4 linked regions of the Drosophila melanogaster genome follow. The protein of the gene in region 4 purifies or fractionates together with the protein of the main gene of each other region. This does not show direct contact. Each region holds a gene or a part of one and is shown on either strand. Other genes may lie near its edges.

Evidence for each region.
Region 1: the proteins of Pdk1 (region 4) and mahj purify together in Drosophila melanogaster (affinity purification with mass spectrometry, with the first as the bait; one large-scale study listed by BioGRID). This does not show direct contact.
Region 2: the proteins of Pdk1 (region 4) and eIF2alpha purify together in Drosophila melanogaster (affinity purification with mass spectrometry, with the first as the bait; one large-scale study listed by BioGRID). This does not show direct contact.
Region 3: the proteins of Pdk1 (region 4) and levy purify together in Drosophila melanogaster (affinity purification with mass spectrometry, with the first as the bait; one large-scale study listed by BioGRID). This does not show direct contact.

What each region holds. Positions count from the first base shown.
Region 1 is NT_033778.4:21,622,988-21,631,030, reverse strand, and holds the start of mahj (mahjong), read right to left. Parts: upstream 6,002-8,043; 5' UTR 5,836-6,001; coding exon 5,426-5,835; intron 5,367-5,425; coding exon 5,216-5,366; intron 5,094-5,215; coding exon 4,275-5,093; intron 4,216-4,274; coding exon 3,943-4,215; intron 3,878-3,942; coding exon 1,754-3,877; intron 1,686-1,753; coding exon 1,565-1,685; intron 1,501-1,564; coding exon 1,403-1,500; intron 1,341-1,402; coding exon 978-1,340; intron 545-977; coding exon 484-544; intron 426-483; coding exon 216-425; intron 159-215; coding exon 154-158; 3' UTR 1-153. Other genes in the region: PTP-ER (protein tyrosine phosphatase-ERK/Enhancer of Ras1), read left to right, coding at 6,794-8,043. UniProt on the Drosophila melanogaster protein: Probable substrate recognition component of tsome E3 ubiquitin-protein ligase complex. Plays a key role in cell competition via its interaction with l(2)gl.
Region 2 is NC_004354.4:16,444,665-16,448,755, forward strand, and holds eIF2alpha (eukaryotic translation initiation factor 2 subunit alpha), read right to left. Parts: upstream 2,330-4,091; 5' UTR 2,216-2,329; coding exon 1,521-2,215; intron 1,222-1,520; coding exon 891-1,221; 3' UTR 512-890; downstream 1-511. Other genes in the region: rngo (rings lost), read left to right, coding at 1-94; CG34015 (uncharacterized protein), read right to left, coding at 2,996-3,034, 3,108-3,298, 3,367-3,556; eIF4H1 (eukaryotic translation initiation factor 4H1), read left to right, coding at 4,034-4,065. UniProt on the Drosophila melanogaster protein: eIF-2 functions in the early steps of protein synthesis by forming a ternary complex with GTP and initiator tRNA. This pre-initiation complex mediates ribosomal recognition of a start codon during the scanning process of the leader region.
Region 3 is NT_033778.4:23,546,555-23,549,505, forward strand, and holds levy (levy), read left to right. Parts: upstream 1-1,684; 5' UTR 1,685-1,735; coding exon 1,736-1,832; intron 1,833-1,983; coding exon 1,984-2,216; 3' UTR 2,217-2,428; downstream 2,429-2,951. Other genes in the region: wmd (wing morphogenesis defect), read right to left, coding at 936-1,056; pita, read right to left, coding at 2,537-2,951.
Region 4 is NT_037436.4:127,704-132,498, reverse strand, and holds the start of Pdk1 (Phosphoinositide-dependent kinase 1), read right to left. Parts: upstream 3,050-4,795; 5' UTR 2,677-3,049; coding exon 2,611-2,676; intron 1,770-2,610; exon of another isoform or gene 928-1,769; intron 688-927; exon of another isoform or gene 1-687.

The sequences.
Region 1 (8,043 bases), on a different chromosome or scaffold from region 4:
CGACGACTGTTGCTTGCTCATCCTTCCATGCGCGCTGCGGACAACTAAGAGGTTCAAACGAGACGAGACGAAACAGTGGGTGAACAGTGGAGCGGAGCAGTGGATCGGTGAAGGAACAGTTGTGTGTGTTGTTGGTTTGGATGAGGAGTGGGCTCAATCTAGGGGAGGAGAAAATACAAGTCGTACACGAACAGAGTCTAAAGATCTTGAGTTACCGTCTGAGCTGCTTCTATCGAAGTATTCCAGCACATCAAAGTCGCCATCGTCGTCGCCATTGTCGGAGCCGTCGTCGTCGTCACTATCGTCATCGGAGTCCAGCGGCTCTCCATCATCGTCGTCCTCATCCAGATCTTCGTCATCGTTGTCCGAGCCATGAAGGTTACGAAGCAGGGGGAAACCCAGTAAATTTTGACCTATAGCAAAAGCTAGGGAGTAAGGAGATTTAGCAACGGATTAAATGATTATAATCAAAATCAAACTTACTGTTCTCGGAGCCCGTATCCGAACCGTCCTCATCAGATTCGGGCACCTCCTCATCATCTTCCTGCAAGCATAGACATAATATTTAGTTCAATATCATCCATGCGCCGCATGAGGGTTCTCAGATCTATGGCAGCGCCGATTCCGACTCCGCCACCACCATTAAGATTCAGATTCCCATTCCCGCCACTGCCATTGCCGCTGCCATTGCCACCCAGTCTACGTGCCCGCCGTCGCACCCCAACAATTGAGCTGTTGGGTGCATGTTGGCGAGAAAGATTTGGACTTGCTTGCGTGGCGGGACTTAGCCGGCGTAGCTGATCCTCCTCAAAATCGTTGGGACCGGCGGGTGCAGCGTTTTCCGCCGGCTGTGGGCGCTCCTCGGGTGGCTCCTCGAAAACCCGAAGCAGCGAAGCATCGCCACCATCGTTAGCGTTTGCCGACCCCGGCGCCACTGCGTCCGATACCTCGCTGGCCAGCTCCTTAACCGCACGCACCTCTTCCGAGCGCTCGCTCTTTTTAACGCCCACAGCGTAGATCTTCACGTAGGTCTCCTGTTTGGACTCGTAGCCACTGTAGTCTTCGACCACGGCGATCAGACTCCCGTTGGCGCTGACGCTCAGATCGTTTATGTTGCGTTTAACGTCAATGGTCGCAATGCTCGAGTAGTCGTAGGCGTCCAGAACGTTGAAACTGGTGTCGTAGGTGGTCGTCTCCATGTCATGGTCCCTATCAGCCCCCAAGCTAGCACCGTAGATTACATGCATCGGGGAGAAGGTGCAGTTACGCTGGTCTAGCACCGGCACTGTCTGCAGCAAATGAAAGGTGCGCAAGTCCCACACCTCGGTATTGGCAATGATCTACAAATTGTGTTGGAAATATTAACATGGTATAAATAAATCAACACAAATTTCGACTGTACCTCCAGACAGTTGGGATGGAAGACGCCTGATATGCACTGATTAAACTTGTCGAACTTGTGGATCTCCTTTCCGGAACGCACATCCCATAGAACGCCATCTAGGAATTCGATTCAGTTACATTTCAGGTAACTTTATACTTATAAATGCATTTATGTAATTACCCGACAAAATCAGCTCATCGGTTCGGCAAAGAGTTGCTCTGTTTTTGGTGTAGAGATTAGGTATGGTTGGCGTAAACGAGGCCACCTTGGAACCAGTGTTTATGTCAAAGAGCGTGGCGCACTGTGAAAAAAAGGTGAATTTATTAGTTGAAACTGCTATAGATCGTAAAATAACTCAAATTAGTATACCTCATTCTGGGTGCCCAACAAACGATCCTGCACCGTTTGACTGAACTCACAGTACGTGACATCGGGAAGTCGCAACTTTAGCTTGAACTCATCGTCCGCAATAGACCATAGAATGCTGGTGGGTGTGCGCCAGAAGCTAGATGTGATGACCAAGTCTCCGGCTCTATTAGCCTTAATAGCATCAACGCTAAAGTTGTGACAGTTGGAGAAGAACTGCTCCACGCCATCGTTCATGTTGAACACTCGTCCGTCGCCCTGCTGCGTGCCCACAATGATGTATTTACCCGCCAAATCGCAACAGGTGAACTCTAGGTCCTCGTAGTCCGCCGATCGAATGCTACGCCATGGTGAAAAGTGCGTGTGCACATAGCGACGGTCAAAGCGACTGGTATTAAATCCGGCTTGGGTTCGAGCATGCCGACTAGTCAGGTTGTAGTTCGAGCTTAGCAATCGGCTGGGCTTCGGATCTGGACACTTGTGCGGCTCGTACAAATCAAACTGCGGGCAGGTTGTCACCGGATTATTGCACAGCGAGTGCTGGTTGGTGAGGTATTCCGTTACGATGGTATTTAGGGTGATCCTCTTGGGATGCAGTTGACCATCTTCGGCAAGACCAACTGACATGCCACCAGGCTCCATTGCCTGCTTCTGGATAGAGCGGCTAACTGAACTTCTATCCGTCCTCCTTATTTTTATGGGCGTCTGCGTTGTGTTAAGGGAGCTAAAATTTGGTATGCTGACTCCATCTCCCGCATTGCTACCACCGGCTCCTGCCGGCGAGGAGTCCTCACCAAAACTTCTGTTTAAGTCTCCATTGCCCATTATCGCTGCGTTCACATCTTGCATGCGGCTTCGCAGACGATTTCTAGACAGCGAGCTACTACCACTGGGAAGACTTTTGTAGTCGAAAGGTGATTGATGAAAACTGCGCGTAGTGGGAGTCTGTAGCGGAAGACCCACCTCCCGTTGCAGCATTTGGGCTGTCTGGGAGAGACCGTTGCTTTCCAGGTGCTCGAAGATAAGCTGATACAGCTGCTGCTTGTTATACTGGATGCGTGTCTGGGCGATTACATTGGCCTTGTGCATGTTGGACAGCGATGGATCCAAAGGATTATTTAGCGGTTTCGTCTTACCCGACACTCGTTCTAGCAACTCCAATGCGTACTTTTGGAAGATTACATGTTCCGCGCGCTTCTCCTGGAGTATGGGATCCCGCATCAGCGTCTGGAGTTGTCCGCTGGCAAAGAGTGGAAGCTTGCTGACGATCTGCCTGACCCGATCGGAGCGAGCAAGTCCCGCCAAGGCCCTACAGGCCATTCCACGTATACAGTCCGCATCCGTAATGGGTCCTTTGGTCTGCATCAGCGATAGCAAGACCACAATGCCATTGTTGGAGCACACGGACTCCCACACACGTTCAATCAGCTCTTCGGCGTACTTATGGTTGGCCTTGTTCTTCCTGGAGGACGTTCCAAACTTAATCAGGCTGGTGCCGCTGTCCTTGCGAATGATCGGAGAGCAAACACAATGGCACAGCACCGCTAACGCCGATTTGATAACCTCTGCATCCGAGCTAATCTCTCCTGCAGCAGCGCCCAGAACCGAGCAAAATCCGGAGGTAGTTGTCTTGTCTAGCATCAGCAGGCGCTCGCAGAGCACAACATAAACTCTTGGGATAATACAGCATACGCTGAGCACGTCCAGAGCCGAGCGCACCGTCTCGGAGCGTCCACTGTTCACCCAATCGTAACTGAAGGCGATGATCCTGAGTAGCATGGTGATTCCACCAAGCTTCATTAGCTGATCCACGGGTTGCCAGTGCGCCCGGATAGAAGTGTGCTCCTGGAGCGTGCGAATCTGGTCGTTCAATTGGTCAAAGGTCAGTTTGGCAGCAACCGTGGGATTCTGATTGAAATAGTGGGCTGATGACGGTGCCGGGGATGCCGCATTTGTTTGGCACAGAAAGCTGTTGTACTTGTAGAAGAAGTGCGCCTCCATATAGCGCTTGAGGGCTACGCAGACGTGGCGCACCATTTGTCGGGAAGCACATTCTACGTCTTCGTTGAAATCAGAGTCATTATCGCTGTCGTTGTGGCTCGGATCAAGAATTTTTAGTACGGAAATCTATTAGGAAGAAGTTAAGGTAATTGACTTTAATCGAACTTCTTTCGTTTAAACCATTTACTTACGACATTGTACAGCTTTCTTAAACCATCCTGAGCATCAAACTCATCCAATATGACCTTAAATTGGAAGCTCAGACTGAAGAACATGGTGGCATGGCACTTTGAGGAGTCGTGGCAACGACCCAGAATCCAAAGCGCGTAGCGAACTAGTTCTGAAATAAGTGGTCTTTGCATACTGCATATGCGTTCCATGGCGTCTTCACAGTATGCTAAGTAGTAGATGGCGATGGACACACCAGTAGTCGCCAAACTGGGGCGGGGCACTTTTAACAAAAGCTGTAAAAAATAGTAAAGTTAAAAATAATTACATTCCCTCTACAAGACCATTTACTGACCTCCAGTCCACCGTGTGAAATGAACTCTAAAGCAAACTTCTTGTGGCAAAGAAGGGAAGCCAGATACTTCAAAACTTCGTAGGCCAAGCAGGTGTCCCGGCGATCCAAGTTCTCCAGGTAGCCAAAAATTAGCTGCATCACATTGTTTTCGAAAGCCATGGCTAGGAACTCTTGATATTCGCCCAGGCTGGTCAGGAAGCGCATGATTAACATTTGGCTGGTATCTGCTGTGGCCGGGTGCAAAGGAATGTACATCCGTTTGTAATAGCGAGATACGGAAAAGGCATCTCTGCTGTTCTCGAACAGAATGGACATATTAGAGGCGTCTCCATGCTGCGAGGAACTTGCTCCCAGCCCACTGCCATTGTGCTGCGGCGATTGAGGAGCCGATGCATTACTGGCGCAGGCCACCCAGCTAAGCATGCCCGCCGTGCTGCTGTCAGCCGACAGATTGTGCATCGACGTATTGACATCTGAAGTGGCGCTCTTGCTGATCGCCAGGAGCATGTGCAGACGCTTGATCATCTTTGGCACCAATCGAATATTAAGATCGCGAAAGTTTATGGCTATGTCGCTCACTTCCATCGCTTCGGCTAAAAGCCCGGTGGCATAGCTCTGAAGCGGTTCAATGCTGTCCTCTGCCCAAGAGTAGATGCGATTGATGGTTCCATCGCCTTCGGCGGTCTGAAATACTGCAGAGGTCTCCATTCCTGGCATTATCTCCAGAATGAGGCGGCAGGCCAAGATGTTTAGTTCTAGAGAACTGCGACTGACATTCTGGCGACTGAAATAGTTCTCTCGCAGGTAATCGTTGAGGAGCTAGTTAAATAAAATATTTCACTTTAGTTAGCTTATGTTTTGGAAATTCTAAAACACCTGATTTTAAGAAAACATTTACATTGCTTTTTAGAAAAATAAAAATCACATGACTTTATTCTTACTTTGCCCATGAAGGTATCCTTCCGAAAGAGCAGCTTGAGTAGCAATCCGTACTGGCAGCTGGGATCGGCTCTATATGGATGTCGTGAGTCCAAGGGATCCGGATCCTTGCGCCGATACACGTCCTTCTCACGCTCAAAGATCTCCGCAAGGCTGCGATAGTAAAGGTATTAAGTTGGACCCATGCGTTAATGATTTTGAAGCACGCTTACCTCCTGAGAGTGGGCACTGGATCGTATCCATTTTGGGTCTGCTGTTGCTCCCACTTGTCGATAATCTGGGTGAGCTCCTTCTTGGTGGCTTGGCGACGGTCGGCGGCAGCGGTTTCCTCGGCGTTTCCACCGCTATCGCTTTCGTTTTCCGCATTTTCCACGCTCATGGCGTCGTCAGCATCAGCGTCTTCGTCGGCCTCTGGTTCCCCCCCATCCTGTTGTTCAGCGGCGTCCTCTTCCTGGTTATCGCCAGCCTGCTCCGGCATATCCTCGGCTTCTGGCTGCTCCTCCTCGTCGCTCTGGTAGGCCACAGCCACAGCTTCAGCCATCAGTGCCGCTTCAGTCGCGGCCTCTGCCTCGGCCGCAGCCTCTGCTGCGGCCGCATTCTCGCTTCCGCTGCCCTCAGACATCGAAATGAATTACTGGGTTTTGGATGCACTAGGTCTTGATCCAGTGGCTTTCTTTGCTAGATTTTCGACACAGCGAAACTTACTTCTAATGGCGAAATAAAGCAAATAAATAAGGTATTAAATACCACGCGCTTTTCGCAAAATTAGTGTGGCCTTTTGCTATTGTCGTTGAAATAATGAAGTCAGCTGTCGCACAAATTTGTTTGTTTTCGTCTTTCGGCAAATTAAACCAATCTAAAAGGTCTTTAAATAAGTCTAAAGTACACAAAAGGATTTAAATGCCTAACTCAATTAATTATTTCCAAGCAAATGCACAGATAAAAGCGTGCCAAAGAGCAACGTGCAACTGTGAGGTAAACGGAACGGTGGTAATAGGAACACTACGTTGTTGCTTCTAAATTGTTCACAACTTTGTAGTGATTTCATAAACAAAAATACAGGTAGGTTGAAATACTATTTAGAACTAAGTCTGTGATCTTTTACAACAATTTTTCTGGATGCATGCAAAATATAATTGTCTGATACCATCTCAGTTGATCGATTGAATTAACTATCGCCCGTGTACAACATCTGCATTACAAATTCTGCAACTCCTTGATGTAAACACTAGATCTGTTAACCTATTCTTTCTTTTTATTTTAAAAGACACTTGAAAAATGCGGTTAAATTAGGTACAACGTTGCCAGGTCTTGGTGCAGTTAGTCTGCGGCCTGGCAGCACGGTAAGCAATGAAGGCATTGCCGGATCGATTACATACGCGGTCTGGTAGCCCTCCATGCTTTAGCTCTGAAAATGTTGTGAAAAGAAAACGCTCTTTTCCCCATGATTTGCGTCCAATTCGGAAGTGCTAACTGTGCGGGCGAGATAGTTATAATGCCGATCGAGTGAGGACAAGACACTAAACGGGCGGAGCGACTGCGCTGCGATCGCCCCGCTTCAGCAATTGTGTGTGTGTATCATGGACAAGCTACGAAACAACAACAAGGAGAATGCACCCATTGAGTACCCCTACCCACAGACCCCCCGTCCCACCCACGCCGCCCCCTCCGACACGACCCCACTTGAAGCTGGCGAGGATGCGGAGAGCAACAAGAGTACACCCTACTTTACGCCCCTCGAGTACCTGCAGACGTCCTTCGAGTTTCCGTCGCCCACGGTGGAGGTTGGGGGCGGGGTTCCGGGCTTTCCCGAGCACGAGGATCAGGAGGAGGAGGTCTTCACCCCCCGGCAGTTCACCATTACCAGCCCCCATCCAGCAGCCCACGTCCACCATCCATCCAGCTCACAGTCTCCCACTTTAGGCCGCAAGTTCAAGAGGTTATCACAGTATGATCGCCGATCCTGCTCGCCGCATATTAATACCTCCAGCGGCGAGGAGCGGGTCAGTGGCCGTGGCATCGACAAGGAGAACACTATGCCCAAGGGCGGGTCAGTCGACCAAGACCTAGAGAACAGCTTGTACTTGTCGAAGAGCGAGCACAACTCACCCACCATCCTGTTTAAGGATGAGTCCTCCACGACGCCGGGACTGGAGGCCAGTCGCCTAAGCTACTCCCCGAAACTACTATCCTCCATCAACAACCTAAACGTGTCCGGTTCACCCCTGAACATTATTAACTCGGCCGGCTACAAGAACGGCAACTTCTTTCGCTTCCCCGAGATCGATCATGTCGTGCAGGATGCGCCCATGGATACAGTCTGTTTAGAGGAAGCTACACGTCGGGATCGTAGTCCTGCGTTGGCCGAGCCGCCGGAGCAGCAGCAACAAAAATCGGAAGGGCGAAAGAACCGCAAGAATAAAAATAATCTCACCATTCGCATCACGGACGTGCCCATAAAAAACTCGAGCCAGCCATCACCATTGCCCAAGCCCAAGACACCGACTATCAAGAGCACCAAGGAGAAGGCCCGCTCGCTGGACTCGGCTGCCAACGAATCGGAACTGTCAATCGTGGTGCACAACATAACCGAATCTCATGGCAGTTGTGATGACATGGAGACAGGACAGAGCCAGCCATCGACAAGTGTTATCCACCATCACCTTCATCTTCAACAGCCCGCATCCGCTATCCACTCAACATCGCTCTCGCGACTGGATAGTCACCTAAGCTTGGCCAATCAAAGACGAACGCCGCGCAGAAAGTCACCAGGAATCAACACCACTGACTGGCTTATGTACCACCGCAAGCAGAACCCATATCAGGTGCA
Region 2 (4,091 bases), on a different chromosome or scaffold from region 4:
TACCGTGCTGCGCCTGTGCGGCGGTAACAAGCAGGCGGCCAGGTCCGTGCTGCTCCACCGCAACGATGCCGCCTCGGGGAGCGAACTCAGCTGAACGCGGCTAGACGCACAGCCCACACCACCACCTAAAGCCGAACTCCCCATAGCCAGAAACCGGATTGCAATAGGATGATGAACAGACTGGACCCCATTAACTGGAAGCCGTTCCAACGAAATACTCCGAGCAATACCAAATAATAAGCCACGCCACGCCACATATAAAGTCAAATAGGAAATAGTAAGGACTATACACAACCACAAAGCAATGAATACCGAAACGAAAACCTTTCTAATTTAGTGAAATGTTTATAAACTGATGTCACTTTTTTTATACGAATCGTTTGTTACGATGTACAATATCTAATTAGGGTGCTACGCAGCACTACCGGGTCATTTTTAAAGCAGAGGTGGGTTGGTTTTTTCTAGAGAGAATAGTAAGCGATATAATCTAAAATTTAATGAATGAAAATCTGGACGGTGATGGAAACAAGCCGCATCAACGAAAACATGAAACAAGTAAATACAAAAGAAAAACGAAAGAATGCCTGACTATTAAATAATATTACACTTATACACAATTTGAATTAGTATTAAGGGTCTGTCAAGAAAAACTGAATTGGGTTCAATAATAAATGGTCGATAGTATTGTTTTGGATTTGAAAAGAAAAAGATGAGCAAGCGCATTTTGATTTGTCTTCTTGGGCATCTCGCTGTTTTCACTTTTATAAATCTTTAATAGCATTCGTTATATGTTATGTATATAAATTATAAAATTACAACTTCTGATTTTTGCAAAACTCCTTTAATTGTTTGTTACAGTTGCTATAGTTGTGTCTGATGCTGTGGCTACGCTAATCCTCTTCCTCCTCCTCATCCTCCTCGTTCGCACGACCCGCCCCCGATCCCTTGTGGTTGAACTCCTTCTCTGGATCGAACTGCATGCCCTCCTGGTCGGCGCCATCCTCCTCGTCATCGTCGCCAGCCACCTGGGCGTTCTCGGCCTCAGCGCGCTCCAGGCGTCTGGCCAGATCCGCCTCGTCGATGGCCGTAACCAGTTTGGGTGCCATGATCACCTTGAACTCTCCATCGTACTCGCTGGTCTTGGCGCGAATGTGCTCAATGGCCACCTCCAGAGCCTTTAAACCGTCTGTCTTCTTGGTAGTGGATGTGGTCATTACATAGCTAAAAGGATACGGATGAAGAGCGATTACGTTTAGGAACCAATTAACTCATTTAAGCAACATTTTTAGTTATTTCGATTTCACAAGAAGTTGTAAAATTAAATTGAATATAAGTTTTTCTCTTAACCAAGTGGTCATTTACAATATATACAAGATGAAAGGGATTTCCTTATTATTTAACGATAAATTTCGGCTAAAATGAAGAACAGAAATCTACAATTTTCGTATTCTTTTAATTAAAGAAACCCTCGTTAATTTCGTCTACACCAAGGGAAATTACAATAGTTTACAGGTACTTACAGTGGCGGTGCTATCAGGTTGATGCGAATGGGCAGCTCCTCGGTGCTCAGCTCCAGGCCCTTGGTGAGCGATGCCTTGACAGCGTCGATGCCCTCGTAACCGTAGCAGGAGCACTCGATGTCCGCACGGATCTTGACAGTGGGCGAGACCAGCTTCCGCTTGATGTTGCTCAACAGGACCTCCTTGGTCTCCGGTTCCAGGTTGCACTCATCGAAGACGGTGGGATCGGTGACCGATTGCTTGAAGATGTCGTAGGCGACCGTCTTGTTGTTGTACTTCTTCTCGAAGTGCCAGGCGGTCTTCTGGTAGAGATCTTCCAGCTTCTCGTTGCCCTCGAAGCCGAGTATGTCGGCGACATGGCGGAGCAGTGAGTTGATGGCCTTGGCCTTAGCGAAGCGCTCGGTGCACTTCTCGACATCTTCGGGCGAAACGCGACGCTTCGACAGATCGATGTAGCCCTTCTCCTTGTCAACACGGATAACCACCACCGGTTCGGTCTTGCCGACACGAATCAGCTTGTTGATGGAGCGGATGCGCCGGCGGGACAGCTCCGACAGCAGGATCATGCCCTCGATGTTGTTGTACTCAAGCAGATGAACGTAGGCGCCCATCTCGGCGATGGACAGCACGTTCACCATAACGACATCCTCGATCTCCGGATACCGCTCGTTGTAGAAGCGCGACGTCAGGGCCATGTTAAAGTCTGTGGTCTATGGCCAAAAAATGGGCAATTTGGACTTTTCGAAATGAAAAACGTGTACAATTTCTGCCGAGCGGGCGCAAGAAGAAGAAGCGTAAGGTATGACAGTGGTGTTATCGATATTTAATTGCGTAGCCGGCAAAACGTTGCCAATTGGATTGCTTCTGGTCACACTGGAAAGGTGGGGCAGCAGCGGTCTATCGATTGTTTGTCACATGGATTGCCGGTCAATTTCAAATTTTACTGTTTTGGTTTTAATTTTGATCAGAACATTCGAAATAATAGTCCAAATGTGGAATGCCATCCCTTGGCGAGCTTGTTATTTAAATACCAATCAATTTCAAATTGGAAATGTTAATTTTTGTTAAATTTATTGCAATATTACAAAAATTGCGAAAATTGACCCAAAAGTTAAATTCTCAAAAAGTTATATAGATTGCTAATACTGATAAATAGGAATAAAAAGCAGTTGTTCTTTTATCTATATGTCACTTTTTATCCATGTTATGATGATAATTCCCATATGTCAAATTTTCATTTTTCATATTTATCTGTTTAAATTTGCAGAACATTTTAAAAGGTTGCATATTATCGCATACAAAAAGGCCATTAAATATGTAATGACATGTAGCTTGAATCGGTTTTTTTAGAAGCTACACTTTTAATTTAAAGAACATTAGAATATTTGTATAGGTTGGCTCCGTTTATTAGTTAATTATGACAGCGCGCGAGTACAATATATATTTATCTAACAGTTATCTATGATGGTCCCGATCTATTCTTTTTGGGAAAGGTAAATACGCGCCTCGTCGACCTATAATTAAATAGATAAGATTAAATTAAAGCGGGCCTCTAAGTGGTCAAAATCAGAATAGCCAAATACTTACGGTTTTGAACCAAACGGAGGGTCTAAAGATCATCTTAGATAGGAAGGTCATTTGGGTGCGTGGGCTAATGGCATGCATGTGAAGATGCTTCACCGTGATAAACGGCGGCAGATGGAATCCGAAGAGGGCATCATCGACAGAAACTCCCTTGGACACCAGAAGATCCTTCAGGGCGTTCTCCATGAGCTGCACTGTAAGGAATCCAAGGATATCAGAATTATTAGGGCATGGCCCGAGGTCACGCCAATTCCAATCTTACCCAAAGAATCGTGCGATTTGTTAAGATCCTTGAGGCTAGCGTAGTGCTTTTTTGTCACTGCTAAGTAATGGTGCTGGGAAGCGGGTTTAATGTCCTGGAAGATGACAAAGTCATCGTTTTCGACTTCCAAAACAGTGGAGGGGATCCGCCCATCGGAAATTAGGCAGAAAATGCAGTTGTCGTCCGCCATGACTTAATTTTAAGTTCAGTCTATATAAAATATAGCAGTTTGTACTTTCACAGCTGATTAGTTGTACTGTCGATAACGATAAGAACTATCCTGGTGCTCCAAAAAAAAATACCGCTAAATAGATTTTCAGTATTAAAAAAAACCATTTGTGTCCAGTTACTTTTAGTATTATTTTTTTCAACAAAAAAATTTATACAAACATATGTATTCCTCTCTATGTATTCAATGTCATTTTTGAATGTTTCATTAGAAAAGGAACAATTGTAGAATGCTAAACAACTATAAATATTAATCGATATCTGAAAATTGGACGCAATTGGGCATGCGTCCCTGCTAACGACCAAAATACTAAGAAAGGCGGCTATCAGCTAATTGGTGTGGTGACACTGCCCGACCAAATTCGCCGCGATAGTATTTTTCGCCCGTGTGTTCACACTGCGGTTTGCAGCGAATTCGCTCATTTGAAAAAAATAAAACATGGCTGGAAGAGGTGGTTATGAACACGCTAGGTAAATATTATTAATTATTTTTGCAA
Region 3 (2,951 bases), on a different chromosome or scaffold from region 4:
TCCGAATAAATTGCAGCGGATCGGGATCGGGAGAGTGTATCCAGCAAGCAGAATCTTCCAGGCGGCAGACAAACGGCAGCTGCATATACACACAGCATATAAATATAGAAGTTCCAAGGTGCTTCCTGAACGAGCAGTTTCGAAAAGTTGCTAAACAAGGGGAAGCGAGTACGTTAAAAGGCGATAACGAAGTCAACTTGAACTTGCAGTGGGAACGAGCGCTCTTTCCGCATAAAAGCAACATTTGCGAAAGCCACGAATGCAAAGTGCCTGTAAAAAACAGGCAATAGCTAACGAATTGCGAATTGCAACTGCCATGGCAATTGCAATCGCATCGACTGGCTGACACCTCAAGGCAAAGAATGCGAGTTTTGTAGCATGCGAGTGGCGGCAGGCAAAAGGGTTTCGCACTCGCAGAAAACAGGTTTCGCTCGCGATGAGTGACTTTGCATTTGGGTCAAGGTTTCCCACAGGCTAGACATGATGCTACACCGTGCTGGCCCGCCTGTAGTTCATGTGATTCCATGCCGCTCTGTTGCAGCACCTTTCCCACGAACATAACGATCCGTCAAAGAACACGGACAACATAACTTGTTTTTCGACATGGCCTTCTGGGTAAAACATTATTTGCCCTTCCTACAAAACTATACTACAAATTTGACCAATAAGCAAAAGTAACTGCCTGTTTTTACCAGGAAACTTGCTGTATAGACATTAAACTATTGCAAATGAACACTGTCTATATAGAAACACTAGTTAAATCCAATTCTTACGGAATCTGCGTTGTGTCCCAGTTCGTCAGTGACTGACACTTCCGATTTTAACCCCATCGTATGATTATGACAACCACTGTGCGACGACGGAAAGTGGTGTATAAATAGCGCGCAAGGACGGCTAATCGCATGCGACTGGCTGCCCGATCCCGCGGACCTTACCTTTGCAGGCCGAGATGAGAAAGTAGCCGGCGTCGCAGATGTCGCTGAAGTCCAGGTGGACCACGGGTCGCGTGTGGCCACTGCAGGTCAGCGGGATTTGTCGCAAGTTGTTGGCGGCCATGGCAGTGGGCTGCTAGTGGATTGGTGGACTGTGTGGTCCTTAATACTTGTGGTTTTCTCCGAGTGTAGCGACCGTTATGTCCGCTGGCGAACTGTGCACTTAGTGAATAACTGACGTTTTGTGGCTACTTTGTACTTGGATTGGTTGTTGCTCCTGGTTAACTGCGCTTCACTGCCCGTACGATAATGATTTTCCCGTTCGTTGCTTAGGTTCGAGATGCTGCGGTGGCTTTGCAGGGTGTGCAGTGTATTTACAATCTGATGCACTGAATTTTATAAACAAGAGGGGAAAATAATTACGCGACACGTTGTTGTTGTGGATGGACGATTGGTAGCCGACTCCAGCCTCGATAGTCCGCACACACAGTACCTACCTATCGTCAGCGGTGGGCGCGTGAGGCGATAACTTCTCGATTAGCTAGAGCTGTGTCACGGCAGCCAGGGGAGGATACAAAGGAAAAATGTCAAATTACTTATTTACAATTTGGCATAGAATTGTTTTATTTTGTTTTTTATTTATATTAAGCCAATTAACAGCTTTGTTGTACGTAATTTAGAAATCACGGCCAACCACTATCGATATAATTTAGCGAACGAGTCACGACATTATGGATGTAGCCCATCCCTATTTACTTGTCAAAACAGCAAATTTTCATTCGGGCCAAGAATCGACTGAAAATATGTCCGCTATTCTAAACCACGCAATTCGCCGCCAATTCGGCGCTTCTGCCGCCCGGAATATGTCCGGCACCGCCGCCGTGGCCGGCGAGCACTCTGGTAAGTGACCGTCCAGCGTCCCAATTGCCAAATTCATCCCCTTTTGTAAGGTTAAGGTTATGTAATTTACCATTGGGCAAGATCGATTGGTGGAGAAGGATTCGCTCTTATAACACATCCTTTCATGCTCATCTCATCTCTCATCCTTCAGGTGGCTACAAGGTGTGGAAGCGCCTGTCCTTCTTCGTGGCCGTGCCCGCCGTGGGACTGTGCATGCTGAACGCCTACCTGAAGCACCAGGAGGAGCACGACAAGCCCCGCCAGGAGTTCGTCAAGTACGACTACCTGCGCCGCCGCGAGAAGCGCTTCCCCTGGGGTGAGGGCCAGAAGAGCCTGTTCCACAACCCCCACGTTAACGCCCTGCCCGACGGCTACGAGCACTAGGTGGCCACCGTCTCCGGTTCCCTCTGCGGGATGTATTCGTTGTTTGGTAGTGATAGACGTTAATGTAAACTGAACTTTACGCGGAAATACACAGAAAACACATATACCCAAACTCCAGTTGGCGCTTCAATAAAGATCAAATTAGAGCGAGGAGAGATCCCATAAAGACCATTTCAATGAGCGACAGCGGAATTCTGGTGAGGAGTTTATTTAAAAGGCCTTCGGTTAAAGGAAAAATTAAAAGTTACAATTAAATAGAATTTAAATTTAAGCATAAGCACGGATGCACTTTTCGCATGCAATATATTCAACTACTATCATTATTTTGCGGATCGGCGATTCTTAAGGTTGCGTTCCAGTTTGTGATGAGGCTTGCCTTCGTTCTTTCCTGTCTTCTGAGTGATTCTTTGAGCATCCCGACTGCGAGTTTGGCGCACGGATTGCTGGGCATCCTTGGGAGGATTGGTTTTACGCTGCTTTGGAGGCGGCGGCGTGAAGGATTCGTCGCTATCGTCTAGGTGGTCCTCATAGAGAGCATCGTCTTCTAAGTATTCCGTCACGAATTCTTCCTGCTTCACATTGTCCATGTCTTCAAAATCGTCAAGATGTTCCTCCTTCTCATCGACGCCGCCTTCTCCTTCGCCGTCGTCTTCGAACTCGTTCTGGTACGGCTCCATTTCCACCACATGATCGTCCTCGATGTGGCGCTGCAGGCATTTCTGCGTCAAGAAGATG
Region 4 (4,795 bases):
TTTGTCTATGTTGTAATTTCGATTTGGGGTACAAATTCCAATGGGCACACGAATGAAGAAGAAGAGCCAGCCACCGCGTACACGCACACACTGTACAGAGCGAGCGCGCGTATTTTTTCGACTCTGCGCGTGCCTGTGTATATGTATGTGTGCGGCTTTAATTTTATTTAATTCTTAGCTTTGATTCTTAACATTCGTATTGTGCTTCCCTTGATTTGCACAATTATGAAACCGCCGCAGTATGTTTCTCGAAACAAATCACAAAAGTTCGCCAGAAACAACAATAATCAAGACAATAATTCCGACGCAGTAGGAAAATTTATAAGAAACGAGACGCTGTATGTGTCTGTTATTTTTTATGCCCTCTTATTTTTCTAGGAACTGGCTCACACTCATACGTTGTACTACATTAATTTGACTAATGAAAACAATCGGTTAAATACTTTGAACACAACACGGAGGGAGAATACACTTATTTTTATTCCGATTTAGATTTTATGTAATTTATTTGGCCTTTTGTGGAGTATTATTTAATCGCACCACTACAGCACTACATCACACGAACTTGGGGCGTCGTGTATTTGCCTGTGTATGTATATCAATGCCAGCGCGCTATGGGTGTGTGTGTGTGCGTAGTCGAACGCCGCGTGCACGAAGCGACTGGTTTGAAATCCAATAAGAAACTATGGTCGGGCGAGACTTTGACTTCCAAGCATTTGGCTCGAGCAGCGAAACCGATGGGAGACGAGCGCCACCCGAGAGAACTCTCTTTGGCGTTGCCGCCCCCGCCAAGCTAACCCTCGGCGCTCTCAGTTAAATGGGGCCAAAGCAGCGCAGTCGTGTCGCCGCTGGCGTCACAATTTTTTTTACAAGGCGAACAAGTTGCGCGCCACTTTTGAGAGCGTAATTGTTGCACTGTAATTGTTTGCCAGTGACTTTTTATAAATAAACACGACGGGGCAAAGCGAAAACAAGTTTCAGTCGAAATCCACACAACTACATAAGGCCAAAGAGAGCGCACGCTCTTTTTGAAGAGAGAGAGTGAGAGAGAGAGAGAGAGAGAGAGAGAGAGGGGAGACGACCGCATTCCTAACTGTAAACAAGCAAGAAGCGGAGACACTATAAAAGTGGGAAAGAGACAAGGCGACAGGCTAAGAATGCGGCGCTGCTGGAAAAACTCGTTTTTCCCGCTGGAAAAGGAAAATATGGATAAAAAAGAATTCGAGGAATTTTCGTGCGAAAGAGAAAGAGAAGTGGTGTAAAAATAAACAAGAATCCGAACCCGATTACGAATACATACACAGGGCAACGAAGGAAGAGAATTGGAATAGCTGAAAAACAGAGCGGACAAAACAAAATGCTTGAAAAGCGAAGGGGCAGCTCAAAGCGGACAAGCTGATACGTAGTAAAACATACCAACGACGGCAACTTCAAATGTAAATAAGTATATAAACGAGGTATGTAAGCGGATGAGTGTGTGCAACAACAACAGTAAACCTAATGACAACAAACCGAGCAACAGACATGCAAGTGAAAGGCCTTTGCGTTGTTTCCCATCCACTACTCAAGTTATTTGCAAAATAAAAACAGCTAAAAGAAGACAAAGTGATGAACTCGGATCGGGAGAGAGAGGGGCATAATTTTACTTTTGGCTGCTTGCAAGAGAAAATAAAATAAATAATTCATTTATTGGTTGCTGCTAATAGATAGCAATTAAAAGTAAAAGAAACCACAATAAATTGTTGTTTAGAAACCAGCTGGAATCATTGTGTTTTTTTGCTGTGAATTTTTGTTGTTGTTTTTAAAGTATCAAGCAATTTGCGAGGCAATGAACTGCAGTTGTTAAATAAATTTAGTCAACCCCTGCGGCTTCATTAAACTTTTTTATGCATTTTATTTTCGTTGTCGGGTGCCTGCAAAATAATTATACACATCCACTGCCTATTTATGTCGAGTAATATAAGCATCTGAAAATGTATTCATAATCAACTCCATCTAGATAGCTTTTAAAGTGGTTGTTATACAGACAGTCGTTGAATTATCTTATTTTATTGCCCACTTAGTGAGGAGTTTATGGCTTTGATCTTTATATATTATACCAGCATGTGTTGTCAATGGAAATTTTTTAGATGAAATGTACGGAAATATTTAAATTTATTGGTAACAAGAATTGCAAAAAGTAAAAATACTTTTTTTTTTTGCTATATAGCTCAAACATTAAATTTCACAGCTTTATGAGTATTTCATTATTTCATGTCAATAAATTATTTTGCAGCTTTTGTATTTTGTAAACAAAAATTTGTACAACCAATTCAATTTTTTTTTCCAAGAACAATTTTGTGTAATTTAACGATAAAATTGATGGGAGGTATTTTCTCGAAAGCATTACTTGTAGTTTGTAAAAAAAGTTTTACTAAATTATTTTAATTAAAAACAACTTTAACAAATTGTACTTTCGCATTACCCCATATCTATGCTATAAACTTATTTTTTAACACCTTAACAAGTCTCATAAGCCTCATAAGATATATTCACTTAATCAAAATTTAAATAAATATAAGTATATATGTATCAGGGCCAAACACCGCACCTTTTTAAGACACTATTTACCTTGATAGACTTTATTTTGCGCACAACGTAGTTGTTAATTTTGTTGGACCAGCTTTTACATTTCATGATATTTTTCGCGTTCTCCGCCGTTCTCGGGGAGGATGAAGAGGCAAAGACAACGGTAAACGGATTGCTTTCGTCACTTGAAGTTGCTGCCCTCACTCATTTCAGTTTCATTTCGTTTTACCGGTTTTTGTAATATTTTTTTATTTGCTTCACTTTGCGATATTTATTCACTTGAGTTTTCACCGCCCGGCGACAGTTGCAAAACCTTTGTGATTGCAAATGGTAATTATACGTATACACGAAGACTCGGGTCTTACTCGCATTTCTTTTTGGCGCGATAAAAGGAAAATTGGACGTTGTGGTTTTTCCAACAGGGCGTCAAATTTGTATCCGTGATTACGACCGAACCCGTCAAATTTCCGATTCGAAATGAGTCGAAAAGGCGAAAGAAAAGGCAAGGAGAGCGCGCTAAACTGGGAACGGCGGCATTGGGCCACAGTTACCAAATCGTGAGCGCGGAGAACTGGAAGAGAGATAGAGAGTTATGGGGTAAAAAAGAGTGCGGAGAAGTGTAAGAATTTTCATTTGAGTTTTAATCGACACATGAATAATGGGAAAATTATGTTATTTTTTATTAAGTTAGCTTTAAATTTATATTTTTGTATTCTTTTTTAAATAATTAGTTTTTAACGGGTTTTGTTTGTTTTTCTTTGATTTTGCGTATATATTGCATCTGTTGAAACACGTTATTGTCACCCTAATGTTGGATAGCTATTAAATTTGGGTATTTCTGGAACTTTCTTGAATTATTTGCAGGTCTTTCGAAAAAACAGTTATGCATATCCTATTCATTTCACCGATTTGCAAGTCACGGTTCCGTTATTGCCGCGAGTGGGCAAGCTATTTGCGTTTTCTTTTACATTTCGAATGCGCCGCCCATTAATTATTTATTTATTAATGAGTAAGTGACGCACTTGTTTTCATCCACTTATTTGTTGTTACTGCAACGAATCTTGCTTACATTTACATACATACATACATAGGTACATAATTCCATCAAGATCATGCATCAGTGCCACGCCCCCATCTATAAAATGAAATTGTGGACAACGTCGCTGTCGTAAACTTCCAAGGCAATTATGTATGTATGTATGTGTACAAATGTGCATTTTCTGGAATTTAAACTATTCCCGCTCTCTTCGCGCACGGATCGTTCGTTGATCCGCACTCTGGGTTCCACATTAGCATAAGTGTAAGGCCTTCTACACAAACGCGTTCCACAATTCATTCACATCGCCTGTTCCACAACTTTCCGGCGTTCCGTCACGTTCGCGCGCCTTTTCCACCCAGCGTGAAAAAATTCACTTGCTGCTCCCGCTCCCGCTCACGGTTTTATTCTCGTTTTTACGTTTTACTACGAAGCGAAAACAAAACAAAATTAAGGGGAAGCGGAAACTGCAGTTGCTTTGGCTTTGCTGACGTGGATGCCGACGCTTTCGTCATCAAGTTTTTCTCTCACTTTGTTTTTTTTTCTCTTTAAGAAATATTGTAAATATTAGTTCTGTTCCTGTTATGGTTTTTTATCTTGTTAAGAAATATTGTAAATATTAGTTCTATTCCTGTTATTTTCTATATTTGGTTGAGTTTCCATTTATGTATTATTTAAATTTCCTAGCTTAATTTGTTTAAAGACTTACTTGTGAATTGCTGCGTAGTTTAAATAACACAGTTTAATAAACACATTTAATATTCAAAGACCTTATCAATTAGCAATATAAGTAATATTTCTTTAGTTTTTGTGTACTTGTGATAAGCACTCATTCAAACTGAACGGCGTTTAGGCTCAAATAAATCTATGAAAATTACAATTCGTCTTCATCGAATGAACTTTGACTGCATATTTTAGAAATGGTCGCGAATTTTCTTCTTACCTATTTTATTTTATATAATAATCAAATTCAATTTAATTTGTCTCACCCTTAGCGAGTTCGGTGGCTTAGTTAAAATCGTTTTTATTTGGCCTCTGCTTTTAGCATTTTGTGGCTAATTTATTTCTTGCTTTCTGCTAAAAAATATTTGAAATTAGCATTTTTAATGGGCAGCAATCGAGGTTCGGCGAGACACAATGTCGCCTGAAAAATATTTTTAAAATCCCATTTGCATATATTTTCAGCCAAGC